Arabidopsis thaliana: one gene and its partners. Changing the gene in region 1 together with any one later gene gives a genetic interaction. Each region holds a gene or a part of one and is shown on either strand. Other genes may lie near its edges. The genes, in order: HUA2, FPA, HUA1 and FRI.

What was found.
Region 2: of HUA2 (region 1) and FPA, changing one suppresses a phenotype caused by changing the other (phenotypic suppression), as found in Arabidopsis thaliana (one study listed by BioGRID).
Region 3: of HUA2 (region 1) and HUA1, changing one enhances a phenotype caused by changing the other (phenotypic enhancement), as found in Arabidopsis thaliana (one study listed by BioGRID).
Region 4: of HUA2 (region 1) and FRI, changing one suppresses a phenotype caused by changing the other (phenotypic suppression), as found in Arabidopsis thaliana (one study listed by BioGRID).

The regions. Positions count from the first base shown.
Region 1 is NC_003076.8:7,784,200-7,791,864, reverse strand, and holds the start of HUA2 (Tudor/PWWP/MBT domain-containing protein), read right to left. Parts: upstream 6,031-7,665; 5' UTR 5,693-6,030; coding exon 5,582-5,692; intron 5,174-5,581; coding exon 5,097-5,173; intron 4,874-5,096; coding exon 3,146-4,873; intron 3,074-3,145; coding exon 2,557-3,073; intron 2,327-2,556; coding exon 2,218-2,326; intron 2,007-2,217; coding exon 1,894-2,006; intron 1,815-1,893; coding exon 1,627-1,814; intron 1,496-1,626; coding exon 814-1,495; intron 712-813; coding exon 225-711; coding exon of another isoform or gene 217-224; exon of another isoform or gene 49-216; coding exon 1-48. Other genes in the region: NCLPP7 (nuclear-encoded CLP protease P7), read right to left, coding at 7,039-7,457. UniProt on the Arabidopsis thaliana protein: Transcription factor that functions as a repressor of flowering by enhancing the expression of several genes that delay flowering including FLC, FLM/MAF1, MAF2 and SVP.
Region 2 is NC_003071.7:18,025,230-18,032,964, forward strand, and holds FPA (RNA binding protein), read right to left. Parts: upstream 6,027-7,735; 5' UTR 5,761-6,026; coding exon 5,491-5,760; exon of another isoform or gene 4,340-5,490; intron 4,120-4,339; coding exon 3,877-4,119; intron 3,676-3,876; coding exon 3,619-3,675; intron 3,533-3,618; coding exon 2,700-3,532; intron 2,471-2,699; coding exon 1,168-2,470; 3' UTR 1,130-1,167; exon of another isoform or gene 332-1,129; 3' UTR 18-331; downstream 1-17. Other genes in the region: AT2G43420 (3-beta hydroxysteroid dehydrogenase/isomerase family protein), read right to left, coding at 6,264-6,415, 6,528-6,594, 6,675-6,831, 6,987-7,161, 7,530-7,632, 7,721-7,735. UniProt on the Arabidopsis thaliana protein: Plays a role in the regulation of flowering time in the autonomous flowering pathway by decreasing FLOWERING LOCUS C mRNA levels. Required for RNA-mediated chromatin silencing of a range of loci in the genome.
Region 3 is NC_003074.8:4,024,574-4,030,881, forward strand, and holds HUA1 (floral homeotic protein (HUA1)), read right to left. Parts: upstream 4,568-6,308; 5' UTR 4,427-4,567; coding exon 4,036-4,426; intron 3,272-4,035; coding exon 3,024-3,271; intron 2,630-3,023; coding exon 2,573-2,629; intron 2,481-2,572; coding exon 2,409-2,480; intron 2,253-2,408; coding exon 2,196-2,252; intron 2,094-2,195; coding exon 1,896-2,093; intron 1,716-1,895; coding exon 1,678-1,715; intron 1,581-1,677; coding exon 1,534-1,580; intron 1,434-1,533; coding exon 1,315-1,433; intron 1,229-1,314; coding exon 1,175-1,228; intron 1,080-1,174; coding exon 939-1,079; intron 856-938; coding exon 703-855; 3' UTR 503-702; downstream 1-502. Other genes in the region: AT3G12685 (Acid phosphatase/vanadium-dependent haloperoxidase-related protein), read right to left, coding at 4,672-4,911, 5,037-5,103, 5,186-5,223, 5,313-5,447, 5,527-5,688; AGC1.5 (AGC kinase 1.5), read right to left, coding at 6,023-6,308. UniProt on the Arabidopsis thaliana protein: Involved in flower development. Functions in floral reproductive organ identity by binding AGAMOUS (AG) pre-mRNA and promoting its processing. Functions in association with HUA2 and HEN4.
Region 4 is NC_003075.7:267,045-272,028, forward strand, and holds FRI (FRIGIDA-like protein), read left to right. Parts: upstream 1-1,856; 5' UTR 1,857-1,981; coding exon 1,982-2,920; intron 2,921-3,313; coding exon 3,314-3,319; 3' UTR 3,320-3,486; intron 3,487-3,575; 3' UTR 3,576-4,442; downstream 4,443-4,984. Other genes in the region: KEA2 (K+ efflux antiporter 2), read right to left, coding at 1-745; AT4G00651 (Fe superoxide dismutase), read right to left, coding at 4,443-4,680, 4,786-4,835.

The DNA of each region.
Region 1 (7,665 bases):
AGTTCATTGTCCCTGAAGGTGGACGTTCTGGAGGTGGCCGAAAGAAACCTGTAGAATTGCAAATAAGACCATCAATTTCAAGGAACTAAGCCATGGCATTAACATACAAGCTAGACAATCATAGTCAACAGAAGTATCACAATGATTACAACTCCACAAGCAATCATGCAAGTTAATAAACCTTAACAGGTAAAGGGTCTATTAGGATTTAAGCATCTACATACTGTCTGTGACTCTAGGAAGGCCTGGATGTGAATTTCTTCCATGTATCCAGGCACCATTCTGATTTTCTGCACTATGTCCACTTGAAGGAATCCGCCATGGTTCCTCATTTCTGTATCGCCGTGCATCATCACGTTGAGGTGGGAAAGGGTAAGGATGAGTGTAGGAATGCTGAGATTGTGATTGAATATGGCTTGGATACGAAAAATGACTGGACGGTGCTGAAGGCAACCTAACCATAGGTCTTTGGGACAGAGGGGTGCTCGGCTGAAACCGATGGTTCTGTGAAGAAGCTTCAGGATTGAAAAGTACATCGCTGTTCCCAAATTCTAGTTGTCTGGAGGAAGTAAATGATGAAGGCTCCCTGGAGCTGCACACTCCTGCTGGTGAAAAACTGGAGGACTGCTGCACAAAATATTCGGGTTTTCCAGCGCCCTCAACAAGACCTCCACGTGAAGAATTTCCAGGCCCCTGGACAATTTGATCACCCTGCACATGATGTCCAGGGGGTTTAAACAAAAATGATAAAAGATGCATATGTATAGTGAGGAATCATGAGTAAAATGAAACATAACAAATCAAAGAACTCACGGTGAAAATACTAGAGCGGTCTTGCTGCATAGATCCTGGGTATGTTTGATGCGATAAAGGATATGTTGGGGGAGGAAATCCTGGTTGAAATGGTATCTGATGATGGCTAGCTATGGAGAGTTGAGTTGTTAATGATTGTGAAGGCGGTGGAGGTGGAGGCGGCGGTGAAGGTGGAGGTGAAAGTGGTGGTGGAGGAGGCTGAGACGGAGGTGGTGGAAGAGGTGGGAACAGCGCTGCGGGAGGCGGTGGTGGCAGAGATGATGGCGGGAGAGGAGGGGATGGAGGTGGGGGAGAAGGTGGTAGAGGAGGGAGAGGGGGAGGTGATTCCTGAGGTAGCGGAGGAGAATCCTCTGGAAGAGGATTGAACTCGGTTGATTTTTCTGCAACAGGTTCCATAACATCCAGTGATTGCTCCTTTGTCTTATTCTCACAGAAAGAGGAAGGTGCTACATCTTTCCGCTGGCCTGATACATCTTCCATTTCAAGTTCATGATCGACATCCTCCAAAACTCGATGGCATTTATCACTCGAGGTATCATGTATTTCCAGGTCGTCTAAAGCACTGACACGTTCCCCCGCAGATGTGCTTTTTTCTTTTTGTGATGTTGGAAGATCGTCATCTTCTTCATCATCTTCAAAATTATGAGATGAAAAAAACCCTGGCAGCTGAAACGTTGCATTGCTGCAGAAAAAACGACAAACAAGTTAATAAACCCTCTACAGAATGGCAACAGACCTTGCCTGTTATTTTTTCATCAGCAACATATATAATCCGGAGAGTACACTACTAAGCAAGACAATCGTTTAGCATACCTGCCATACTCATCAACAAGCATCCCTTCCATTTCCCTGATAGGATCATCTACAGCACGCTCAGATCTAGAAGGACGTCGCAGGGAAAACCCACCAGTTGCATCATCACCAGAAGCTCTAATATCATCAATATAACGACGCAGAAGAGATTCAGGGAAAACTTTCCTTTCAAGCCACAACTTCAGGACCTAAAAAAACAAAGAGGTCACTGACTCCAGCCTACAAAACTGTAAGGATAACATAGAAACAAGCAAATAGTTTAAATACCTTCAGACATTTACGACGGTTATCACTAGCACCAGTCCCTGGAGGAGCAGCGGCACCTAAAAGACGTGGCAAAGCAGCTTGCACAGTAGGAACGTAAGAAGCACCAGCAATACCTACAAAATTCACAAGCACTGGAAATTATTTAATCTTTAATGATAATAAATATATTAGGTGTTCTCTTTGTATACAGTAAAAAACAATACAACAATGCTTGTGAATTTTTTACTTCCCTGAAATGCTAATAAATACGGTATTATTAGCATTTCAGGGAAGGAAGTGAAAATTTGAGAACAGGTATTGCATCTATCCAAGAGGAAAGCTCACCTTTTTGGCTGTGCGAATGCTGGGTGATAGAGTCGACGAGAAAGAACAAGTCCACTTTACGATGGAAGTGAGATTCACTTTCCAACTTTCGTATGAGAAGTTCCACCACCTAGATAAAAACACAAACAAATTTCCAATTAAAGCAACTATTGTCTGAACAATATTACGCACCAAATGCTGTAAATAATTTTGAGAAAGCAATTTACGTAGCAAGCTAAACATCCAAGAAGTAAAGCCAGAATAAGTGCAATTCTAAATTGATTTGATATGTGCAGCCTAACAATAAGTTTGTCGAAGCCTTAAGAAAAAACATAATGAAAAACCAACCAACCATCTTACCTCACTAGCAAGCCCATACTTGGCACAATCAATTGCTAGGCGAGTTGCACGTCCAATACTTTCCCTGGTTCTTGATAAGGTCTCTAACATGCCTTCAAAAGCATCCCGAGAAATAGCAGCCTCAGTGCTACAACTAAGTGAACCTCCAACTGACTTATGCCCTGAACTAAGTCTTCTCTCTTCATTATCATCAGTCTCAATCTGATTTCTTGATAAGGACTGATGCCCATGATTTGACGGAGAAGAACCTTGTTGATGATGACCTTGAACAACTAACGGCATTGAGATGGCAGCAGAAGCTGAAGCATTCTGAACCATAAATGGGCTATGGCTCCTCCCCTGTGTATCACTGATGCTCAAGAAACTAGGGTTCAAATTCCCAAAAATTGAATTTTGTGTATGTGCAAGTTTTCTTTTTGCCTGCGCAGCAGCAATTAGATCCTTCATAGATGCAGCCGAATCTGGGGTCTTTGCACTGGTAAATGTAGCACTCCCCTTTTCTCTATTGAGGTCAAGCCTGCAAGAAAAGAATAATTATAAGCAGTAGGCGACATACACACAAAAAGATGACAGATAGAATGTGACATACATAGCAGCAGACAAGTCCTCAGACATGTCTCTTGAACCAGAGTCATTCAAACGTGATGCAGCTTTTGAAACCACTGTTAGCCTCTCTCCAACTGAAGCTGATTTGTGTCTCTGATTTGCTGGCTGAGACTGAGAAGAGCTTATTTTGTCAGATCCCGCAACCGCCTCCTTACAAGAATCACTTTGAGGCTTCTTTGCCATCACAACACCAGAAACTTTCACCGATGATTTTACAACTTTATGCTGTCCTGCAACGTGCTTGTTAGTTAAAACCAGCTGAGGGGACATCTTCGGAGATTGCAAGATCTGTTTGACATCCTTTGGCGGCAATTCATTAATGGGTTTTACCACAGGTAAGCTATTAGTAGAATTCTCCGCATTGCTTGGTAATACACGTGATGCATCCTCACAATGTTTACGCAGAGGGAACTTTCTTACTTCAGTACTCTCTGTAGATCCAGCAGATATCTTAGCTTTTGTAGAAGTACTGTGACACACATTAGCCCTTTTAGGACCATCAGTCAAAACAGATGCTGCTTGGGGAACAATGGCTGGTTTTCCATGTAATGGGGTTTTTGGATCTTCATCATCATCTTCGTCGTAGATACAAACAGCCCTCCGTTTTTTCAGCGACTGTGCAGCTGGAGCCTTAACATTACGAACAGGAGAGGAACGGTCTTTCTGTTCCAGATGACCTTTCCCAGATTTATCACGAGACCCAGAAAAAGAAGGAGAGGTAGCATGCTCCATTGTCTGTCTCTGGCGCTTTGTATATGCAACTGCTTCTTTATCATATTGAAAATTTCCACCGCGAGCACCTAATCCTAAAACAATTTCACGCTTAATATCTGATACAGTCCCAGTAGAATCAGATCCATCATCAATTTCACACTTTACTTTATTGTCTGCACTTTCACATCGCGGCTTTTTAGCAGCACGTGAGCTTTCATCTACTCTTGGTGCAAGCTTACCTTGTTCACTTTCAAGCCTCCTTTTCTTTCCGGAAACCCCAACCTTGATGCCAGGTGAATTTTCATGCTTATCAGCAGACACTTTGGAGCTGGTTTTCTCTGTCAACAGACCTTTCGATTTTTTGGAATCAGAGTTACCACTGGCAGTTCGACCACCAGGCACATGTGAGTTATTGCTTTTGTCTCGATGAACTGTATCTTCACCTTTTCTATCAGAGCCACCTGCTTCCTTCTTAATTCTCTTACCGTTAGCCAGCTTCTTTTGGCCATTACCAAAATGTTCATTGCAAGCACTACCGTCAGTTCCTTTATCAAAATCTTCTTTCTTTATTTTAGGGTCAAATGAACTATGCTCCAGTGACTCGCTAACAGGGGATGTGGTTTTGACCTTTGATTCCAGAAATGAAGATGAATCTAGCTTCCTTATCTCAGCCTTTCTCTCCTCACCATTATTCTCATCTAATTTGGGGAAGCAAGGATCCACCCTAAAATTAAAGTTATCAGTTCTCTCAGACTCAATGACAATATGATCTGTTCCATCCACTATCTCAGCCTTTGTCAAACCAGGTTCAGTAGCATCCAGAGAATCCTCATCGCCCAAAGCATTTGACTTGTGATTCTGCAACCCTTCAAATGCAGTGCAGATTTGCTCTACAGCTTGTGCAAAGTACTTGACAGTTTTACCTTGACATCTTGCTAATAGTTTGCTCTTTGCCTCACTAGTGAAGGCTTGGATATCAGGTGGCGCAACAAAAGCTCTGCAGTAAAGGAAGATAACTTTGTCAATGATCAGTTTGTAAAAGACAAAATCAACTCCAAAGATATTGTCAGCCAAAAAGAAAAACACTTGGTAACATGTTGAAACACCTGATAACCGAGGTCTACTACTTAATTCCTAGCAACATGATATACTGACTAAAGTTCATATACCTTTCTGGATGAGAAGGTACCAGAATCAAAGAATAAAAGAGAATAGCTTACATTTCCTCTGTTCCAAAGAACTGAACAAAGTACTTCTTTGGGTCTGGCGCACGATCCCAATCTTCAGGCCGGCTGATCTGAAACTCAAAACCAAATTACTTCACAAGAGAGACTAACTAAAGAGAATTGTATTAGAGAGATTCGGAAGCTCATTATTTATCGAGATGAATAACATGTGTGTTTCATAATTCAACCATGGAATCTGACCGAGTAACTAGATAGATGAGTTAACTGACTTTCAAACCAACTTAATCATGAAGCCTAGTATCTCAACAAAAAGAAACAGAACACACTAGAGCTCAATTCGACGAAGTTAATGTGTATTCTAGAATTCGTAACGATAAAAACAGAAGACCCAACAAGTTAAAGATGATGACTATGGACTTAAGGACTATATGAGAATTCAATTAGAGAAGAAGCAAAAAAAACAAGAATCTGTGTAAGAAAAATTAAAACCCAATAGAGGAATCATAATGATAACGCACCTTGGCAGGCCAAGCAGGGAAGCCTTTGACTTTGGCGAGAACCAGATCACCGAGAACCAACTGCCCTTTGGCTTTGGCCTTGCTCGCTCCTCTTTTACGCCCAGGAGCCATAGGCGAGACCTCTATAAACCCTAATTTTGAACGCGAAATTGGAACACCCAACAGAATTACGTATTCCAATCCAACCCAGACACCCAATTAGAAGAATTCTCCGATTCCTCCTATCCGAAGATTATTCCACCGGAAGAAGCTCGCTGATTAAGGTAGTAGCGGAGACAGCTACGGATCACGAAACGAGAAACAGCGACGTAGCCGAGAGAAAGAGAGAGCGAGATTGATCCAGACAGAGAGAGATGAGGCGGTCGCGAGAGAGAGACGATGGGGTTAGGGCTGAAAGAAGGTGAAAACTTTCCAAGGAGTTTTTGTGAGAAGTTTGGTTTACTGTTGTCGGCGTTTTTTCCCCTTTCAATTTCCTTTTTCACCAAGGAGAGATCGAAATCGAAAAAGGTTTTTCCTTATTTTCCAATTTACCTTATTTTGTAGTTTAATCTCACTACTCCTAAGTCTCAACCAAATATATTATTAAGTCATTGGGTCATTTATGTCCTCTTTTCTTGTTTACACTTTCCTACACGTTTCCATTTATACTTTTAAAAAAAAGGAAAAAAAAATCATGTTTTCCATTTTTACACATTATAGAACCAACAAAATCATATAAACATGTAAACCATAGGATAAATTAACAATTCTGCTAGTATTTAAAAAACTTTTATTAGAGTGAGATTGTCCAAATATAATTCAGAGTAACAGAAGCAAACACTAGCAATTGAAGGCTCAGCTCAACACGACAAGACAACACCGTACAAGAATTTTCATAAAGATCTTAAGATTCTGTCCCTAATTCAAAGAGCATAATCAAAGACCAGTGTTAACACAAGAATATGATGTGTTCTAACTTCTTCTATATAAAAAGAGGCAAATCAGAATAGATGTGGCTTTGACTTGATGAGGTAAGCAAAAACATGAAACCGAAGAACATCGATCAAGAGCATAAGGAAACAGCAAACCCCATCTTCTAACATAAACTAACCAACTAGAACTGGGGTTTCTGAAACTAGACAATAATCTCATCATTTTAGACTTTCTAGTTAGTATAAAATGATGCATAAATCAAAGATTTGCAATGCATCAAACTGCACATAAAATTAAGACCCAAAGCCAAGCGTTAATCCAATATTCATTTTACTGAATCAGATATGAGACTGTAAACACTAAACATGCGAGGAAAAGATTTCAGAAATATAGTCATGATTGATTTATGAATGAATAAAAACAGTTTGAGAGATCATGCCCTCAGAGCATAACTTCATCCATAGAAAAAAGTAATCTAACAGGATCAAAGCAAAACTGGTAAGAGGAAAAGAAGAAAATTTATTACTTTGATTACCAGTTACTTCCTAACTTGAACTCTTATCTTTGCTTTCATTTCCAACTGCATCTTTCACCAACTCCAACGGTCTTTCATCAATCACTTCATCGATTATTCCAAACGCCTTAGCCTCTTCAGGAGTCATGAAATGATCCCTATCCATGTTATTCGCAACCACGTCAAGAGGTTGACCCGTGTGTTTGACATACAATTCATTTAACGCATCCCACACACGAACAATCTGTTTTGTATGAATCGTTATATCTTTAGCCTGTCCACTATATCCTCCTGAAGGCTGATGAATCATAACAGTTGCATTTGGAAGTGACCGCCTTTGCCCCTTGGCACCCGCTGCCAACAGAAGAGAAGCCATTGATGCAGCCTGACCCAAACAAATTGTGCTAATAGGAGAACGAATGTACTGCATAGTATCATAAATTGCAAGACCTGTATCAAAGACAAAGATTAAAGATGCGTCACAGACTCACAACAAACAATTTGAGACTCAGAAAGTGTTAACTCGTCACAAACCAGACACTCTTGAGACTGTGGACATTAAAACTAGTAGCAGGAATCAAGTTACAAATCCACAGAAGAACAAGTATCAACGAACAGTATCAAAGTTTCAACTATATCAAGTAATTGACAAAGCAGT
Region 2 (7,735 bases), on another chromosome or scaffold:
TGGGCAGACGAGAAAGTAGATTCGAAACGAAGTATGATTTATAAAAAAAAACTTGGGTTTCTCGATTGAAGTATCATCAACAATTTTGACATCATGCTGAAGATTTAGTTTATGAGAACAACAAGAACAACTAAATTAGGAAAAGAAAAGAAGAAAAAATCTAAATGACATTCATTTTTTATACAGCCTTTTTTTTTTTATCTAAACGCCGCAGGAAAAAACCTAACGAAGATGAGCATTTGGTTGCATCTGTAGGGCTAGTTCGTAAACTTGTTACTATAGCACAAAGCCTCTCTCTTGGTCAGGCAATTTTTAGCTCTCAAATCATCACCTACACAATTTCAAAACAGCTATGAGTTAGTGATACGGCTTCTCTTCCTTCAATTCACTTTTCTCTAAGCTCACAAGAAGGCAAATCACAATTGAATCTGTTGTGTTTTCTTTAGCAATTTATGGGGTTTGGTTAACAATAAGAGTATCTGTATCATCAGATTGTTCGTCTGAGTTTTGCTCTGACGGCATTTTCAAGTCTATCAAATTGGCTCTCTGCGATCAGGTCATCTTTGTATGCTCTTAATGATCACAGTCAAGATTCTTTGCCTCTTATCTTTGGTATTAAAGGAGAGTTTTGCAACGGTTGTTATATTTCTATACAAGTAGTTAGAAATCCTAATCAGAGAGTATATTCTTATCACATTTACCAAAATTTACAAATCCAAGGTATGCTAAATAAGCAACCGTTCGTACACACACACTCCATCATAGCTCCAAGAAAACAAAGGGGATCCAAGAGAAAGCACAATTTACATGTGATAAGAATAATAATCTGTGTGTGATACTACTAGACTAGATTCACGGTAGAATCAAAGAAAGAAGTACCAAAGTAGACATCAATAACGAAAATGCAAGCAACACAGAAAAAATGTATATATATTCAATAAAGCAGTCCTATGTTATTTTCACAAAGTTTCATGTACCCTATATAAAAATGCAGACTAAATGCTCCAGTTTCAACGACAGCGAGCACATGCTTTATCATATGTCAACAAGAAAGGATCAGAAAAGTATGTAAGTAAAGCTTATGGTCATTCAACTCAGTCATCAGGCAGAGGGTAGAAGAGATAATTACCTTGAAGATTATGATTATGATGGAGAGTGGAGCTAGTTTCAAGGCCCCTGTCCAGCCGGAGTACCTGAAGACTGTTGCTGCTGTTTCTGCTGTATCTGGAGAAGAAGGTTTGCTGCAAATTGTAGTGTTGACTGGTATCTCTGATTCTTATCGACCTCCCCATCTGTTGTACCCTGACCATCCCCAGAGATCATAGGCTGCAATCGTAGTGCTTGGTTTTGTGGCTCTAAATTTGCCTTATCTGCTGGTGGTTGCATGGCAGCTTGAAATTGGGAAGGGTTTAAGTTCTGTGCCTGATTTGTTGTTACGCCATGAAAATTAGCTTGCTGATAACTTGGAATTGGACCATAGTTTTGGTTTGGCATGGACGCTTCTGGTTGGTATTGCTGGACCATGGGCTGAGAAACAGGATGATTTGACGAACCCTGAGTGTACATGGAATAATTATTATGAGGCATATTTGGTAACGGAGACAGCTGAGGCATGTTAACAGATTGGCTCTGGTATTGCATGTTGCCATGGACCATTCCACTAGTGTAGTTGGGGTTGTTTGAAGCTGGAGGGTAACGCGAAGGAGGAGGAGGTAGTTGCCCAGCTGGAGTGTACTGATTTCCGTATTGTTGGAATGACTGATTTGACGCATCATGAACTGTTTGTGGACCTCTTTTCCAAGCTTGAGACGGTGCTTCTCCATTGTACAGTCCATTGGACTGATGTGCTGTGGAAACAACTGTTGAAGGTCCTGACATAGGTTGGTGACTCTCAGGGGCAGCAGGTTGAGAAGTTGCAGGGAGAATAGATGCCAGAGTGGCTAAAAGCTCCGGAGTTAAACTAACCCCAGCTTGAGGCGCTGCATTATTAGGTATTCTGAGAGGCTCGCTAACAGATGGTTTTGAAGCAGCTGTCAAATGTTCTGGTGCACCCCTAATGTAATTTTCCCTAGGAGGATATAAACTGTGACTAGCATTGGCAGGTGAATCCCGGGCTTGATCCATATAATGCAGAGGATTGGACTGAGATTCTTGTCTGTATGATGCTGTAACAGGAACGGCTGGCGGGGGTAACTTGAGAACAACACCATATAGCCGTTCTTGACGGGTCACTTGGAGTACATCAGTTAAGAAATCTGATGGAGGCACCAAGAATAAAGTTGTACCATCATCTAATTTGGCAACACCCGCCCGATCTTTTGAGCTAAGGTACCGGAGAAATTCAGTGTAAGACGCAAAATCTTCTTCCCTGTCTGGTACGAAAAAAACGATCTCACATCCAATGGCAACGGCGTAATGTTTAGCGAGCATATTCAAATCAGTTCTTGCTGAACAATTGACGACCTCAGGCCTATAAATCAATTATTAAAAAAAAAACAAAGTCAGTAATTGAGGGCAATGCCAAAAATGAATCAACACCATGAAAATCAAGACATCTCAGAAACTAAACAAGTAATAGTAAAATAAAAATGTACTATCTATAATAATGTTACTTCCATCGAGAATGAAATGGAAAATATATAAATCGCTCTGAAAAAGAAAACACTAGAAGGGTTAAAGTGCTAGAAATTAGTACTCACAGTTTAGTTTCAATCCCCTTTCCCATAGGTACACAACGAGCACAACAGACGGGAGTTCCACCCTTGGCAATCATTCCTCTCCATATGTGATCAGAATCAGGGGGGCCACGGATAGGTCTAGCAGCAACTGAACCTCGACCAAATGACCTCTCATCGACACCCATTGGAGTAAAACCGTCCACTGATCCATCTCTTCTGGTTCGTTTACTTTCTCTGACCAACTGAGCAGGATCATATCCTTCCCAAGAATCGGGGTTTGACCTCATAGGGCGCCTCGTACCTTGTGCAGGAGATGGGAGGATTCCAGGTCCTGTTGGAGATGGGAGTATTCCAGTTCCATTTGCAGATGGCCTCCTCCAGTTTGGCTCCTTACCAACAACGTCATTGTATTCTGCACCATTATATGAACGCTCATTTGTACCTCTGAGGGGCCTCATAGACCCAGGAATTCCAGTAGAATGAGGAGAAGATACAAATGAAGGATCATTATTGAACATATCTGTCCTTGACCGTTTCATACCAGAGTAAAAACTAGTATCGTCTTGCTCAGGAGGCAACTCATCGTTTGAGTACATAATTTTGATTCTAGGATTATTGAATAACCTCCCCTGTAGGCCTTCCTTGCATTGGCGAGCTTCCTCCGCGCTCCTAAACTCCACAAGTGCAAAATTCCTTGATGGGTAACTTTTTACCCTCTCGATCTCACCAAAGAGTATCATCGCATTGTGCAGAATTTGCTCATCATTGCATTGTGTAGCAGTAGGAGGGAACCCAATCCACAGAACCTTACTTGGCTGGACATCTCCTTTAAAGTCTTCATATGAGTGAGGATACTGTAAGAATATAACAAAACGTCAAAACCAGTAACCTATACATATCACTAGTAACAAGAGACATACTTTCAACATTCAAGACTAACCTGCGGTTTATGATTCATATTGCCATTTCTGTTATCGTAAGAGCCAGCCCATTGTTCCTGAAGATAACACAAAGGTAACTTGATTTCAGACTTAAGAAGTTGAGCCTACTCTACAATGAAATAGAGACGAGTAAATACTGCTCCTAGGGGCACAAGACAGAGCTCAGCCCTATCAGTTTGACGCAAATTATGAAACTAAACAAAATGTTTACTGGAGCGTTTTCAAAAGTAAAAATCAAATGCCACAAGAGTGCTTACTTTTTTTGGCGCTTGTGACCGGAGAAAATCAACACGCAAAAAGCTACCACCCATAGGCTTTCCATTCATGCTCTTAGCCTGTAAAGCATCATCCATCTCATAATAATCAATGAAAGCTGTCTTGCGTTCTCTGAGAAACCTAAAATCCTCGATTTTCCCAAACTTGCTGAACTCTTCCTCCAGGTCATCCTTGGAGACATTAGGGCCGATTCCACCCACCCATAGACTCTTACAAGGTTTTGCCTGCAACAAGAAAAGGTCGATAAGAAGGCGATACTACCCAGATAGGTTGCCAAGAATAAAGCATCAAACATCAAGGAAACTAAACACACAAACTAACTAGTAATTTCAACTACACTACGACACCAATTCATATCAATTGCTTTCCTAAACAAATAAAATTGCCGCAAGGAGAAACCATCTCCTCTTTCTCTATTAAATCAGTGTTAATAGTTTCTCTTGCCTAAACATCAGATTTTGTCTGTAGGAGAAGTATGTAGTCCCCAAAGCCGGAAAGACATTAATACTTTCTGCAAAACATTCCTGTCTTTATCCATTGCCTGAGTCCCAAATAAACCAATCCCTGAACACTCCATTTAAGTACTCAAAGCCGGCAAGACATTGAAATTTGAGTCTGCCTGCAAATGAATATTTGTCTTGTCCACTGCAACTGTACCAATCCCAGAATGGTTGTGAAGAAGTCAACTTCCTAAGGAACTACAATGGGAAAGCCCAGATTGTACGTAGGGATGGGAATTGAGGAACAAACATGGTTCTTCGAATAAAGCGTTTCTGATTGGTAGAGTTAGCCGCCTTAACAACCACGTAATTTGTCTTCCTGAAGCATCGAGCCAAAACAAGCCCAAAACTCCCTCACACTGATATGGATATGTGCCAGCGATACTAGGAGTTAGGACGATACGGTTGCCAGAATTTTCTGTTTCGCAGATGCAGTTATTGATATCTACGTACCGCCATAGACAAATTTCTCCACGCGGTTTGATTTTTGCAGGAAACTGAACTTTTAAACTCCAAAATTTCTTATCTGTTTGGCCGATGATAGAGTTTGCTCGCTTCCAAATTTTCACCATTGCGAATTTCGAGTGGAGTACGCAATACATTCATACTCAAGCTTGTGAGATTTAACATCTGAAGCGAACCTGAAATCAGACTGCTAAACGCGGATACAAGTTTGCAGATAAACGACAATCGGATTAAACCTTCTTCGCATAAACGAGAGTAAACATGTGTTTGATGTATTCTTTTGCAGAGCTCATTCGCTAAGAGTTATATATGCTTTAACATCAAATTTTGCAGAGCTTCTCTGTGGTTTGGCTTTGCGCGAGTTCGATATAACCAAAGTAATTTGAGAAAAGACGTTTCGATCGGATCAGGTTTCGCCTTAAGCTAACGACGTATAATAGAAAAAAACTAGGTTTCGACTTTGATTTGTACGATGAGGAAAAAAAAAACAGATTCAACAAGAAATTTTTGGACTAAACAAGCATCATCAAAGTTTTGTGAACCTGGACTATGAATTCGCAAAAAGAGTATAATCGTTGACAAAAGACAATCAAAGTTAGAGAACAAACGAAGATATAGATAAGAACAAACCGGTCGTGCGTATTCGATCTTAATTTGACTTCCATTCAAATTTGCTCCTTGAAGAGCCTCTTTGGCTGCGACTGCTTCCTCCACATGTCTGTAGTATATAAACGCAAAGCCTCGTGAAGAATACACCGTGATTCTATCAATATCGCCGTATCTTCCAAACAACTCGGTCAGATCTGACTCTGTCGTCTCCGGCGTTAGGCTACCGACCCAAAGATTGTTTGACTGGAAACCGGAATCATCGGCTCTGAATGGCTTCATAGATAACGCCATCGGGATTGTTTCAATTGACGATCCTATGGATCCAAAATTCCAATCCCAGAATTGATTGTTTTACCTTTGGGATTATGAGATTTCGATTATCCACGTGACGGAAAACGAGAGACGAATTGTGCGATGATACGTTGAGCAAGAAAAATTCGATGAGAGATTTGGGTGTTCAAAATCCTACCTACAGAGAGGAGAAGAGAACCCTAGATTGAGTTTGAAGACGAAGAAGATTAGATTGTGAGAGAAAGAGAGGCCAGGGAATATCGAAGCGGCGGCTTTTAAAGGATATATAAGGATACTTTCCTTTTTTTTCTTTTTTTTTTGGAAACCGGATCAAAACGGTGCATTTTGATAGTAGTTATGGCAAATTCGTAAATAATCATATATCCATCCCCTCTCAGTGAAGATTACATCCTGATAGCATAATGTTTGTACATAAGACATCTAATAACTGCAATTAGTCTCTGGGATTGTTGGTGTTCGTTTAGTGGAGGACTTTGGAAGCTTCACATGAACATTGGTTTAGATGAAGCATCAGAAACAGGTATCACCATCCTTTTAATAAATGTTAAGCATTCGACGAATATCCGGGCTAGGTGGTAGAGCTCAAGCTCGTATTGCTCGTAGATGAAGAAACCGGTGAATGAGAACGACATAACTGTCCAAGCAAAGCGTAGAGAAAATGTTATGGATAAAGAAGTTGTTAATCATGTTTATGAAGTTGTTAATCATGTTTATGAAGTGTGAAAACAAAAGCTTTGTTCGAGTACCTGTGAAAAGAAATGCTGCCAATGAACGGGATACAATCAGTTTGAGGAGATACAGTGATCCTGCAATCTGTTTTTATGTTTTGTTTTAGGAAACGAGAGCAATGAGATATTTTTCATGTTTGGTGAGCATAAAGAGTAGAATTGTACCTTGAAGAACTTGATCCAGTCTCCTCCACTGCTTAAGGATTTAAAACTGCGAACTCCTTGATTCCAGACAACTACGATATCACTACTAAGATCTCTCACAGCGGATTCGGAGATCTCAAATCTCCATGGGGGTATTTTGTTGACTTGAAACCCGAAACTGTCAAAATAAATCAATCTGTCACTTAGTTGCATATAGATTTCAAAGGTGAAATATATATACATGGGTGCATCATCCTTTGATAGGACAATTTTGGTATCACAACTTATTTTCACTGCCTTCTATAATGGTAAAGTTCTGGAACCAATACTTACATCTTTGACGGCACAAAAGAGACTCCATAGAGAGCAACAGCAAATATAAACAGAAGTTGGGCTGCAGATGAAGTAAATGTGTTTCCAGAAAAGAAGAACCAGTAATAAAACAAGTTTAGGACAAGAAAAGAAACGAAGGTTTTCTTCTCATTTCTCCACAGCAAGATGTCTGCAACTGCATGAGAACATAGAGATGAAAAGCTAAGTCAGTTTAAAGAGATTAATATTAAAAGCTTGCATTGACCAGATTCGCTTTGAGTTTGTTTATATGTGCATGAAATAAAGTTGGAACTCGCATGAAATTACATGGACTGGAAGAAGATGTAAATTAACCAAGCAGATACTTCAGCATGTTCTAGACATCTAGAAGCAAACAAATCTAAGTTGAAAATAGAGATAGATTCTTTCCAGGTTAAGCCTTGTGAACATGCATCATCATATCCATAGCTAGATGAGATGCGGACTTCAAGCAATACAACTGAATACTTAGCCAAGAACACTTCAAAAAGGCATTATAATTGTTAATAGCGAGATGGTTCTAACCTTTCCCACAACCAAGAAGCTGATCTGCAGTAGATTGAATGATTGTGTCATCAGACTTCTCAAGATCCCGAGAGAACCATTGAAGCGTTGATGCAATACCATCCTACAAATCCAACAAGAGCTAATAAATCCAAGGAAGGTACTAAGCAGCTGAATATGCAAAAAGCCAAAATACTATCCAACAAACTCACTTCAAGTGTCACAAC
Region 3 (6,308 bases), on another chromosome or scaffold:
AGAGTATTTTGGATTATAGAAGTATTATAGGGAAGTGTGCTCATATTTTTAAAAGATCCAATCAAAAAGGCATCAAACTTTTTGAGTCCTCCTTTGCTACTTTCATCATTTGTCGTTATACCATTAATAGAGGCCTTCCACATGTTTCATCAAAACTTAAAATCAGAGACACGGAGACAACTAGTCCATGTTTTCTTCCTTTGCCTCTGTTTCTCATGTCATGTCCTCTTCTTCGACTCTTAAGAACAAAACATTGGACCCACTTTTGATTTAGCAGTTAGCACCGACATGTGTCTTGCTGAAGAAGCATGTTTCATGCACTGGCTCTCTGTCGTCACTCTGTCACATCTTGTTGTTACGTGTTGTTTCATCTTATTGTGGAGATTAGTTGGAGTTTACTGACAATTGCTATAAACAAAATCACAATGGAAACGATATTTATCCAAGAGAACCGAATCAACGGCAGATAAATGCTCAATTGGATCATTGAGGAGAGAAGAGTGGTGATGAACAATTTTGCTTTTATGAGCTCAACTGAGTAAAAGAAGACTCACTCAACGATATCTTTTTTGTTTTAGGATGATAAAGAGAAGTAGAGAACTCACGAGCGATAAGCATTTCGAAACGAAACAGATGCAGTACATAGGAAGTAAACTAGGATTACAACAAGATATCATCTTATGTTACACAAAGCTGGGAAACTCATTGAGTAGTGTCGGTGTTGGTTGCTCCAGCAGCATCGGCTTCTGAAGTGGTCTTAGCCATCACCTCACCTGGAGGAGGATGGTCAAACTTGCATGTTGCCCCGTATTTGCAAGTTCCTGTCTTCATGTAATAAGGGCAATTAAGCGCACCCTGCAACAGTTTTTGTTTTGTCTATGAGATTACCACACAAACTCACAACATGCAGGCTTCTAATAATACCACTTTATAGGTACCTCTCTTCTGGGATACCCTGCAAGACTCAGCTTTACATTTGGTTGTTGAGGAGCTTGTTTGGTCATTGCACTTAACCTATCTGCTGGGTGATGGAATTTGCATCTCTCTCCAAACTTGCACTCCCCTGTCTTCATGTAGTACTGTAATATTGAAAGACAGAGCTTTTGGTATAAAATTTCAACTAACATGTGGGAGAAAAAGCTCAGCAATCTCTAAAAGAAACAAGGATACTAACGTCACATTCTGATTGTCCAGGTCTTTGGGGATAAGTTGCTGAAATCACTCCAAGCTGAAACAATTTCCACTCTAATTAAACCCCTATCAACTAAAGAAGCGCTCTTGAATATTTCTCACAACATGAATAAAGGCTTTTACCGTGGGTTGAGTAAGAGTCTGATAGAAAGAGGTAGCTGGTGTAACCAGCCCAAGGTTCAAATTCGCAGTGTTCGATGAAACTAGAGAATAGTTTACCCCAGCAGCTTGGGGAATGAATGCTGTGCACAGAATCAAAACATCGCACATTATGAGAATTTAGGGATAAAAGTAATACGTTAAAGGTTCTAAAAACCACAAAATTTTGGCATGATCACAAACCAGTCCTCTCAGGATGATTGTAGCGACAAGTGGCTCCATACTTGCAGCTGATTATGGAAAAGGAAAACAAGTTAGAACGTTAATGTCACGTTCTTTGTTTCAATGTTCTAAACAACAAAATAGTATTATACAAGAGATATTCACCTTCCCGTTTTGAGATAGAATGGGCAGTCCACTTCACCCTGAAAAAGCTACAATCTAATTAGTGAAACTTCATTCTCAGACGTCAGAACAGGTCAGCATACAATGCTAGCAAACCATAATCAGTTCTAAGTATAGTGCCAATAAGATAGTAGAAAGTCACAAATTGTGCCTATATGATTATAAGTCAGTCTTATGCAAAGTGAAGATGAATTCATTACCGATCTAACAGGTAGTCCTTTTGAGTTGTGATACAATGCTGGGGTAAATGTGACATGCGGATTGTTTGTGGCATCAGGCTCACTGGTTAACCCCACACTGCTACCAATATCTTGACTCGATGATGGTAGCTGGATATCCTTTGGATGGTGGAATTTGCATGACAAACCAAATTTACATTTTCCAGTCTTCATGTAGAACTGATGCAGAGTAGAAATGCCAAATTAATAATCGATATTAGTTTCATATGTAAGAGCATTTATAAAAATAGGATAGGTCAATCAATTATGTTTATATCTTACTGTGCACATAGGTTCAGAAGGCCTCTCAGGCAATGAATCTTGAGTTTCAACACTAACCTGAAATAAAGAAGAGCATCAAGCTTCTAGGTGCATGCACAGCCCAAGAAAAAACTAAAGCAGTACATATTACAAGCACAAGATTTTATGCGAGTGTCTGCAGGCAAATACACAACCCGAGGGATAATTTTATTTGGAAAAGGAAAATTCACTTACTGCAGCCTCTTCTCTTGGATGATTAAATTTGCACTTTGAACCATATTTGCAGCGTTGTGTTTTTATATAGTACTGGATAACAGTGAAAATAAAAGAAAGATAGTCTCAGGTCTTCAGGCGAAACAGAAATAAAATAGCTCGAAAAGTTTTCACGAACAGCTTACAGGACAATCTGGTTCTCCTGGTCTCTCAGGATACTCTTCATTTGGAACAACTGGTGCCTGAATGAAAAGATATTCATAAGCAAAAACAATCATATCATTTTATCATGTAATGCCTAGACAATGAGTATGATGTCTCTTCCAAGTCAAGGAATGATCTGACAAAGGGAAAAGCAAGGATAACAAACACGGTTGCAGAAGTCGGGAAGCTCAAATCTTGAATAACAATAAGATACCATTTGTCATACCTATACCTACACTATCATGATAATGTAGTAATTCTATAACCTCGTATACCAAACAAAAACAATATATATAGTTACAAAGTAATTAGGCACAAACTCCCACAGTATAAAACATATAAGTACATAACAGAATATAGAAAAACGTTATCATAATAATGTAAAAATCATATGAGGGCATAAGAAATACTTAGATAGTAGTAAACGATCACCTCTTTCCAATCTGGGATTCCGCCCTCAGGAACCCAAATAGGATGATCAAACCTGCAGCTTTCTCCAAATTTACATGTTCTTGTTTGCATATAGTGGGTACAATCTTTCTCTCCTGCCCTCTGTGGATATATAGGCAAATGGCTTGTACTCTCCAACTTAGGGCGCTTGGTAAAATAGTCTGTAGTATACCAAGCTTCGGTTTGACCAATTGTATTATGGGCACCCAACAGAGTCGGATAGTAGAGCGCTAAATTACATAATAAACAATAATATACAACGAAATGAGAAGATATATACTGACTATAAGTATAATTTGAAAATAAATTTGGGAGATACTATAGCAAAAACCAAGATATAGCATCAATAATCAATTGTATCTTTAGTTAAACTTACAGTAAGAAATTCTGGCTTACATACAATCATGTCTGAAAATCTATTGGAAACCATAGAGTTACAACAAAACATAAATCATCAATCAATTCTGCAAAATCACCAAGTGTTCCAATAAACATTAAGGTCAAAACTAAAAACAATTATCGTTAGGCAATCCTAAAGCAACAAAGACTTAATCAAGAACACTACCATAAGCTATATAGTTTATAGATGCAATCCCTAAGCATCTCCTGAAAGATGATTCTAACTGTCAAGCTTCGCGTTGTCCAGACTCAAAACAAAGCAATTGGCCAAACCAATCCAACCTCTATTTCAGCTAACGAGAAAGCACAGAGGAATACAAACCAACATCATTGTGCTTGAGCAAATGTAAATTAAAATCTATCCTAGAAAGAATCAGGCTAGAGACCATGACTAAAGCTGAGTTTTTTATGCTGCAATTGAAGAAACAAACCATCAAAAACACTAATTTCCGCTACAGAACTAGAGTATCACGATGAGCAGAGAAAAGGGAAAGCTGAAGTCTTTAACTTTTCAAGTTATGCGGCATAGTTCTCCAAGCAATAAATAAGAAAATGATGCAGATCCCATAAATAGTAAGGTAAACAAAGAGCCTACCTTCAGAGGTGCGTTTGACACCAGGAGGAAGTGGCTCGACGGCGGAAGCAGCACCGGGAACCTCCACACCAGGTGGCCAAGCAACTTCCTGATGCTGAAGCAGCTGAGGATACGCCAAATGCGATGCCGTCGTGTTAGGCAAATGATGGTACATAGAGGAAGACGATGCAAGAGTCCCTGAATAGTTGCTCAAAGCTTCGGATCCATCACGAGCTAAGAAACGATACGTGGTATCCGGAAAGTAATGGTCAGCAGAAGAACCGTAGAGAGAAGAAAGACCGGTTTTTGGCGGCAGTGGTTGTTGCGGCGGAGGAGGAGCTGGAGATACGGTGGAGGCAGCAGCAGCATAAGAAGGTTGAAGGGCGTAGCTATACAATTGACGATGTGCCATTCGATCGAAAAAGGAAACCCTAAAGGAAAAAGCTTTCTACTTTTTTGGTGTCAAACAAATTATCAAAATTGTTGTGTTTGTGGGGTTTACAACCAACTCAAACAGAACAAAAATTCTCAGATCCATAAAACTTGATTTGACATTACCACTGATTCTCTGTTTTATTGCAGTTTGCACATTATTAAATTCTCTTTCTTTCTTATCAACACAAAAAATATATAGTTTTTATAAAGTTGGGAGCTTTTTTACATCAGGGAATAAACACTGAGGGTAACTAAGAAACCGAACAAAGCCCCTGCTATGACTTCAACTTCAGTGTGTCCTATTGATTCTTTCAATGGAGGAGCAATCTCCTCACTGATCTCTTCTGATGTCAAAGCTTTGTTAGATTCGTTGCCCTTTAAACTCATTACTTCACTTCTACGAGCATTAGCTGTTAGTTTGTTCAACACTTTGGCATGTTTTCCAACTTCTCTCCTCACCCCCTGCAATGTTACAATCAGTGAGACATTAAGATAACACTAGAATCAGACATTGAGAATTTGAGAATAACCAACAAAGACCTATTGAACAAAAGCCAGCCTAAGCTTTTCTCTATAGACTATTTTACCTGGGCATCATACATGATAAGGCCAGCATAAACCACAGTTAGACCAAAAATGGAGTCAGCAAATCCCCTGAAGCCAAACCATATTCAGGAAATTGCATAAGCTGAGTATATTTAGGGGAATTGAGAAGAGAAAGGTTCAGGCTAATCACCTTTCAAAAGCAATAGCAGTTGCTGCAGCCACAACAGACTGGTTTCTCAAGAATTAGGCCAAAATGTCAGAGAAGTAGACAAACAATATTACCAGAGGAAACAAGAATAAAAAAAGGATAAGCTTACAGAAGAATGTGTTGAAGGGAAACCTCCAGCTTGAAAGACACTTCTAAAGTCCAGATTTTTCCCATACAAAACGACAGAAGTGAATGGCTTTGAGAGCTGCCCAATCACAGCAGAAGTCCCAGCAGCTATGAGTACCTTCACGCCGGTGAAATCAAAAGCCTAAGTGACGATGACCCTCCAAAAAAAGGAATGAAAGAAGAGAAAAAGGCGAAACCTTGTTGTGGATGACCTCAGCGATATCTTGGAATCCAACATTGACAACGCAGGTGAGACGAGGTGGCTTCTTTGGGCAGCTTGCAAGATTGAATTTGGAGTTGGAGAAAGAGAAACAGAGATCATTGGCGTTATGAGACACAAAACAGTGCTTCATCAACATCTCTGTGCAGAAGATGGAACTTTGGTCGGAGGATGACGATAAGAATAAGGCAGCGAGAAATTTGGAACCAATGGTTCTGACGCTCTGTTATGTCGAGAAGAGTGTTGTCTCTTAGGACATTTTAATTGACTCAGAGAAGCTTTTGTGGATTTTTTCATTGACAAATTGTTATCTCACACACAAAATCTGCTTTAACTCTTTTAGTAAAACTCTTTTAGTCTCTTAAACCAAGTCATCTGTTCTTCTTTTATAAATCACAATTTGTATTCGCCAAAATTAAAGAATATGAACAAAAACAAACATATCGAAACTTTCAGCTTGTGGAGTTTTAAGTCTAAAAGTACTCGAAATCTATATACGCCGTATCATCCGTGGGACCAGCAGCACAGGCGACCAGAGGCTCCGGCTTCATTGAGTTACAGTGATCACCACCTCCATGGCTCTTGGTCTTACCTCTAGCGGCCGCGTACGGTCCCAAGTCCACGGGGTCTGGAATGTGAGGTGGGGCAGCACTACGAACTAGAGCCCAATTCACTCCTTCAAAGAAAGGGTGTTGCTTTATCTCTGTGGCCCCCCTCGTGTAAGCGATCCTTCTGTGTGGATCCTTCACTAGTAGTCCG
Region 4 (4,984 bases), on another chromosome or scaffold:
CTCTAACCTCACTCTCTTCAGAAGTATTGTACCCTTCTGCTTCTAGTGATTCAAGTGCAACCTGCAGCCTTGCTTCAGCCAGAGATAATGCCATAGTAGCCTTCTGAACAGCTTCTTTAGCAACGGACTCTTCATCAACAGCCTCTTGAACCACATTAAGTGTTTGGTTTACATCGTTCCACGCACTGGCTGCTTCATCCTTAAGTGCTATCGCTACCTCTGAAATCCTCTGAGCCTTTTCTTCAAACATGGTACTGTTGAGACTAGCCACTTCCAATTCTTTAGTTGCCTTATTCAGTAGATCCCTGAGTTCCTCCAAACTAGGTGCAGAATCTTGCTCTCTTGTGTCTTTCTCTTCCTTAGAAAACGTAACCTCCCTGTCATCACTACCTTCAGCAAATTCCAAATTCCGGTCATTCCCAACCAAATCTCCTACAGAATCGCTACTTTGACAAAGTAACCTAAACCCCAGCGGAACATTTTGGGGTTTTGCAGGAAGCAAATGACCGTAAAATCTTCCATTGAAATCAGCATTCAAAGTCAAAGAAGAACGATACGATACATTTCGTTTCGATCTAATAGCTGAGCGAACTTTAGAATCAATCATCGGATCCCAAAATCTAGTGCCGCCGAGTCCTTTGGGACAGAGTTTCGCACTTATCATTCGATTCGGCAAGCAGTAACTCGCAAAATCCGCACCACCGTGAAACATACTCTGGCGCTGAACGCTAGACGCAAAATCCATATTACTGCTGCAGAAAGACGGAGAGAACAAGAGACTGACCGATCATAAGAGAAGAGAGCTTCAAGGCTTCAGCTGATGAAGAATCAATGGCGGCGAGAGTGAGTGAGAATCGAGTAGTTACTGAGAGGAAGATGAAACGTATCTCCTGAGAAAAAACGTAAGAGAGTTCCGTTTCAACAGTATTTTTCTCGGCGGTCTTCAGATTTTCCGTCCAACTCTCTCTTTCCTCTTTCAGTTTTTTTTTGCCCAATCACTCGTGGTAGGATTTTTTTATAAGAAAGTTACGAAAATGCCCTCTCGTGCTTAGAGAGATTCAATTCGTGCACATATAATATGCCGTGAATATACCACCAACTCTCTTACTCGTACTCGCATGTGGTGCGTGCAATATACACGTGGTTCGAATCAACGGCTACGTTTTACTGATAGGTGGCTCGTTTAGTTTTGCACTGCCTTTGGGTGCGCGTGACCAAGTCATTTTCCAAATGTGTTTTAATATTTGTGAACTATTATTAATAAAAAAGCGAGCGACGTTGTTCGTTGATGAGGGAGCGACCGTACGCTTGGCGACCTTCTCTGATTGCGTAGAGTCGTTTTCCTTATTGGGCTTACCTAGTACCGTCAGCCCACAATGTTTTCATTTCTTTCCCACCTAAAACTAAAAGTACTCACAAGTCACAACTTAAACCAAGTACACAAGGATTTTATCATGGGATTATCGTGTTTGAAGACTAAAAAGAGCACACCATCACCCCCATTAGTGCAGGTAGAGTAAGACAGTAACTTTTGGGTTCATATTACCGAGCAAGAACCGTTATTTGTGATTAGACATGTTATAAACCACTGCTTTAGTGACTATTTAAAACAATATATTACATGTCGTAATCATGCAACCTAACTATGTTTTCATTAATCAAATACAAAGAATAAAGAGAAAAGTGCGTAGATTCAATTATTTGGCATAGACTCAAAAGAGTGTATATATATCTGACTTTTATTAAATTATTAAACACAAATACATATTTTCATAAGCAAAACTATAAAAGCCCTAAACATATAACGATTACCTCAAAGGAAAAAGTCGTTTTCTCCTAATTAAAAGATAGGTTACTTCCTAATTAATATATAATTTATGTGAACTTCACAATATACAGTTCAATAAAATTTGGTAATTTGACCGATTTAAGGAGAGTGGAAATTAGGGCTTCTGCAATCTTTTTTCTTCGCCGCAATCTCATGTCCAATTATCCACCGACGGTGGCGGCGCAACCCACAACGACGGCGAATCCACTGCTGCAGCGACATCAATCTGAACAGCGACGAAGAGAATTACCGAAGATTGTCGAAACAGAGTCTACAAGTATGGACATTACGATCGGTCAATCTAAGCAGCCTCAATTTTTGAAATCCATAGACGAATTAGCTGCGTTTTCAGTTGCAGTGGAAACATTCAAACGCCAATTCGATGATCTTCAGAAGCACATCGAGTCAATCGAAAACGCAATTGATTCCAAACTCGAGAGTAACGGCGTTGTCCTCGCCGCGCGGAACAATAATTTCCATCAGCCGATGTTATCGCCTCCGCGGAACAATGTATCTGTAGAAACCACCGTCACTGTGAGCCAACCGTCTCAGGAGATTGTACCGGAGACGTCGAATAAACCGGAGGGGGAACGTATATGTGAGTTGATGTGTAGCAAAGGTCTGCGTAAATACATATACGCGAATATCTCTGATCAAGCTAAGTTAATGGAAGAGATTCCTTCAGCTTTGAAATTGGCCAAGGAGCCAGCGAAGTTTGTATTGGATTGTATTGGCAAGTTTTACTTACAAGGGCGTAGAGCATTTACTAAAGAGTCGCCTATGAGCTCTGCGAGACAAGTTTCGCTTCTTATACTGGAGTCTTTTCTTCTAATGCCTGATCGTGGTAAAGGGAAGGTGAAGATTGAGAGTTGGATTAAAGATGAGGCGGAGACGGCTGCTGTTGCTTGGAGGAAAAGGTTGATGACTGAAGGAGGATTAGCTGCGGCTGAGAAAATGGATGCAAGGGGTTTGCTTTTACTAGTTGCTTGTTTTGGTGTTCCTTCAAACTTTAGGAGTACAGATTTGCTGGATTTGATAAGGATGAGTGGTTCGAATGAGATTGCCGGTGCTTTGAAGCGGTCACAGTTTCAGGTACCATATTCTGTTCTCACTCGGTGAATTTCATTGCAAAGGTGGTTCCTTTTGTTGACATCATCGACCAACATCAAGTTCCATCTTTGTTTTTCGATAAGCTTGATGGTATAAACTAGGAGAGCACATCAAATATTTAGAGTGCAATGACTGATTGAGCCAAATCCTAGCTAGAAATTAATCTGGAAAGAACTTGGAACTCTCAACCATAGGTTTTGGTACGAAATTGTTGCTTGTCAGAACCAAATGATAGGCTATTGCCTTGAAATAGTGTTTCTTGTGGTTTCCAATATTGGAAGTTAAAATCATATGACTTAGCTGTTGGATACTAATTAAGCTTAAGCAATGCCAACTCTAAGAAGTGGTACTTACACAATATTCTATTGGTCATAGGTATAGTTGAATCAAGTATCAAGCGTGGAATGCATATTGAAGCTCTTGAAATGGTTTATACCTTTGGCATGGAGGATAAGTTTTCAGCTGCTCTAGTTCTAACTTCATTCTTAAAGATGAGCAAGGAGTCATTTGAGAGGGCAAAACGGAAAGCCCAGTCACCGCTGGCATTTGTATGAACCCTTCCCTTGCACATTATGTACCTTTATGAACTCTTTATCATCATCTGAGTCTGACCATTGATATATTTATTTCTCAACAGAAAGAAGCGGCTACAAAGCAGCTAGCTGTGTTATCATCAGTTATGCAGTGTATGGAGACTCACAAGTTAGATCCTGCGAAAGAACTACCAGGATGGCAGATCAAAGAGCAAATTGTTAGCTTGGAGAAAGACACTCTTCAGCTCGACAAAGAGATGGAAGAGAAAGCAAGATCTCTCAGTTTAATGGAGGAAGCCGCACTTGCCAAGAGAATGTATAACCAACAGATAAAACGTCCAAGGTTATCACCCATGGAAATGCCACCAGTAACTTCTTCATCGTATTCTCCTATCTACCGTGATAGAAGCTTTCCTAGTCAAAGAGACGATGACCAAGATGAAATATCAGCTCTTGTGAGTAGTTACCTCGGCCCGTCAACATCTTTTCCTCATCGCTCAAGAAGATCCCCGGAATATATGGTTCCACTTCCACATGGTGGGTTAGGAAGAAGTGTATATGCATATGAACATCTGGCCCCAAATTCATATTCTCCAGGTCACGGACATAGACTTCATCGACAGTACTCTCCGTCTTTGGTTCACGGACAGAGACATCCACTACAGTACTCTCCTCCAATTCATGGACAACAACAGTTACCATATGGTATACAAAGGGTTTACAGACATTCACCATCTGAAGAAAGATATTTGGGTTTATCCAATCAAAGGTCTCCTCGCAGTAACTCATCATTAGACCCCAAATAGGAGGAATGTAAATTTGTAACAAAGCTTTTTGTTTTTGCTTAAGTTAGTCATTTATTTAACTCCCAACAGTCTCAAAATTTAATTTAATGTTTGGGGCTTAAGAATGCAAATTTTTTTGCTCCTGTAATTGACATTTAAGATGCTAATGTTATTGCTTCAGAGGTTTTAGTCAACCTCAGATACATCGATATCACTATCTAAATAGACCTCTGGCTCTTGGTCATCTGGATTCTCTTCATCTTCTGTCTCTGTTCCTTCTTGTTCTCGTTGCACTGCTCGAGCAATTGCGGATTCCAACCTTGTGCTTACAGTTTCCCATGACACAAGCTTTTCCATGAATGTATTTATGTCCGCCTTCTTATCTTTCTTGAGGAAGATGAATTCACCGAAGATCCAACTTGAGCTTGACAATCAATCAAATCCGAAACAGAAACAGAGCTTTTTGACATCTTTGATTTAGCAGTCTTTGATCTTGAGGAATATCAATGAACACTAGATACACTCACACTTGCAGGCTTTAAACTGGATTTTAAACATGAATAGAAGCATTGATTCCATGGAATGTGGTAAGTGACATAGCTGGACTTCTTAAACAAATGTATGAACGGGTAGGGTTCATTACAATGTAGTTATACAGCACTGAGATTTATGGAAGAAAAAAAGGACACAGCTTTAACTATCTACAGAGAGACAAGAACACTAAAGAC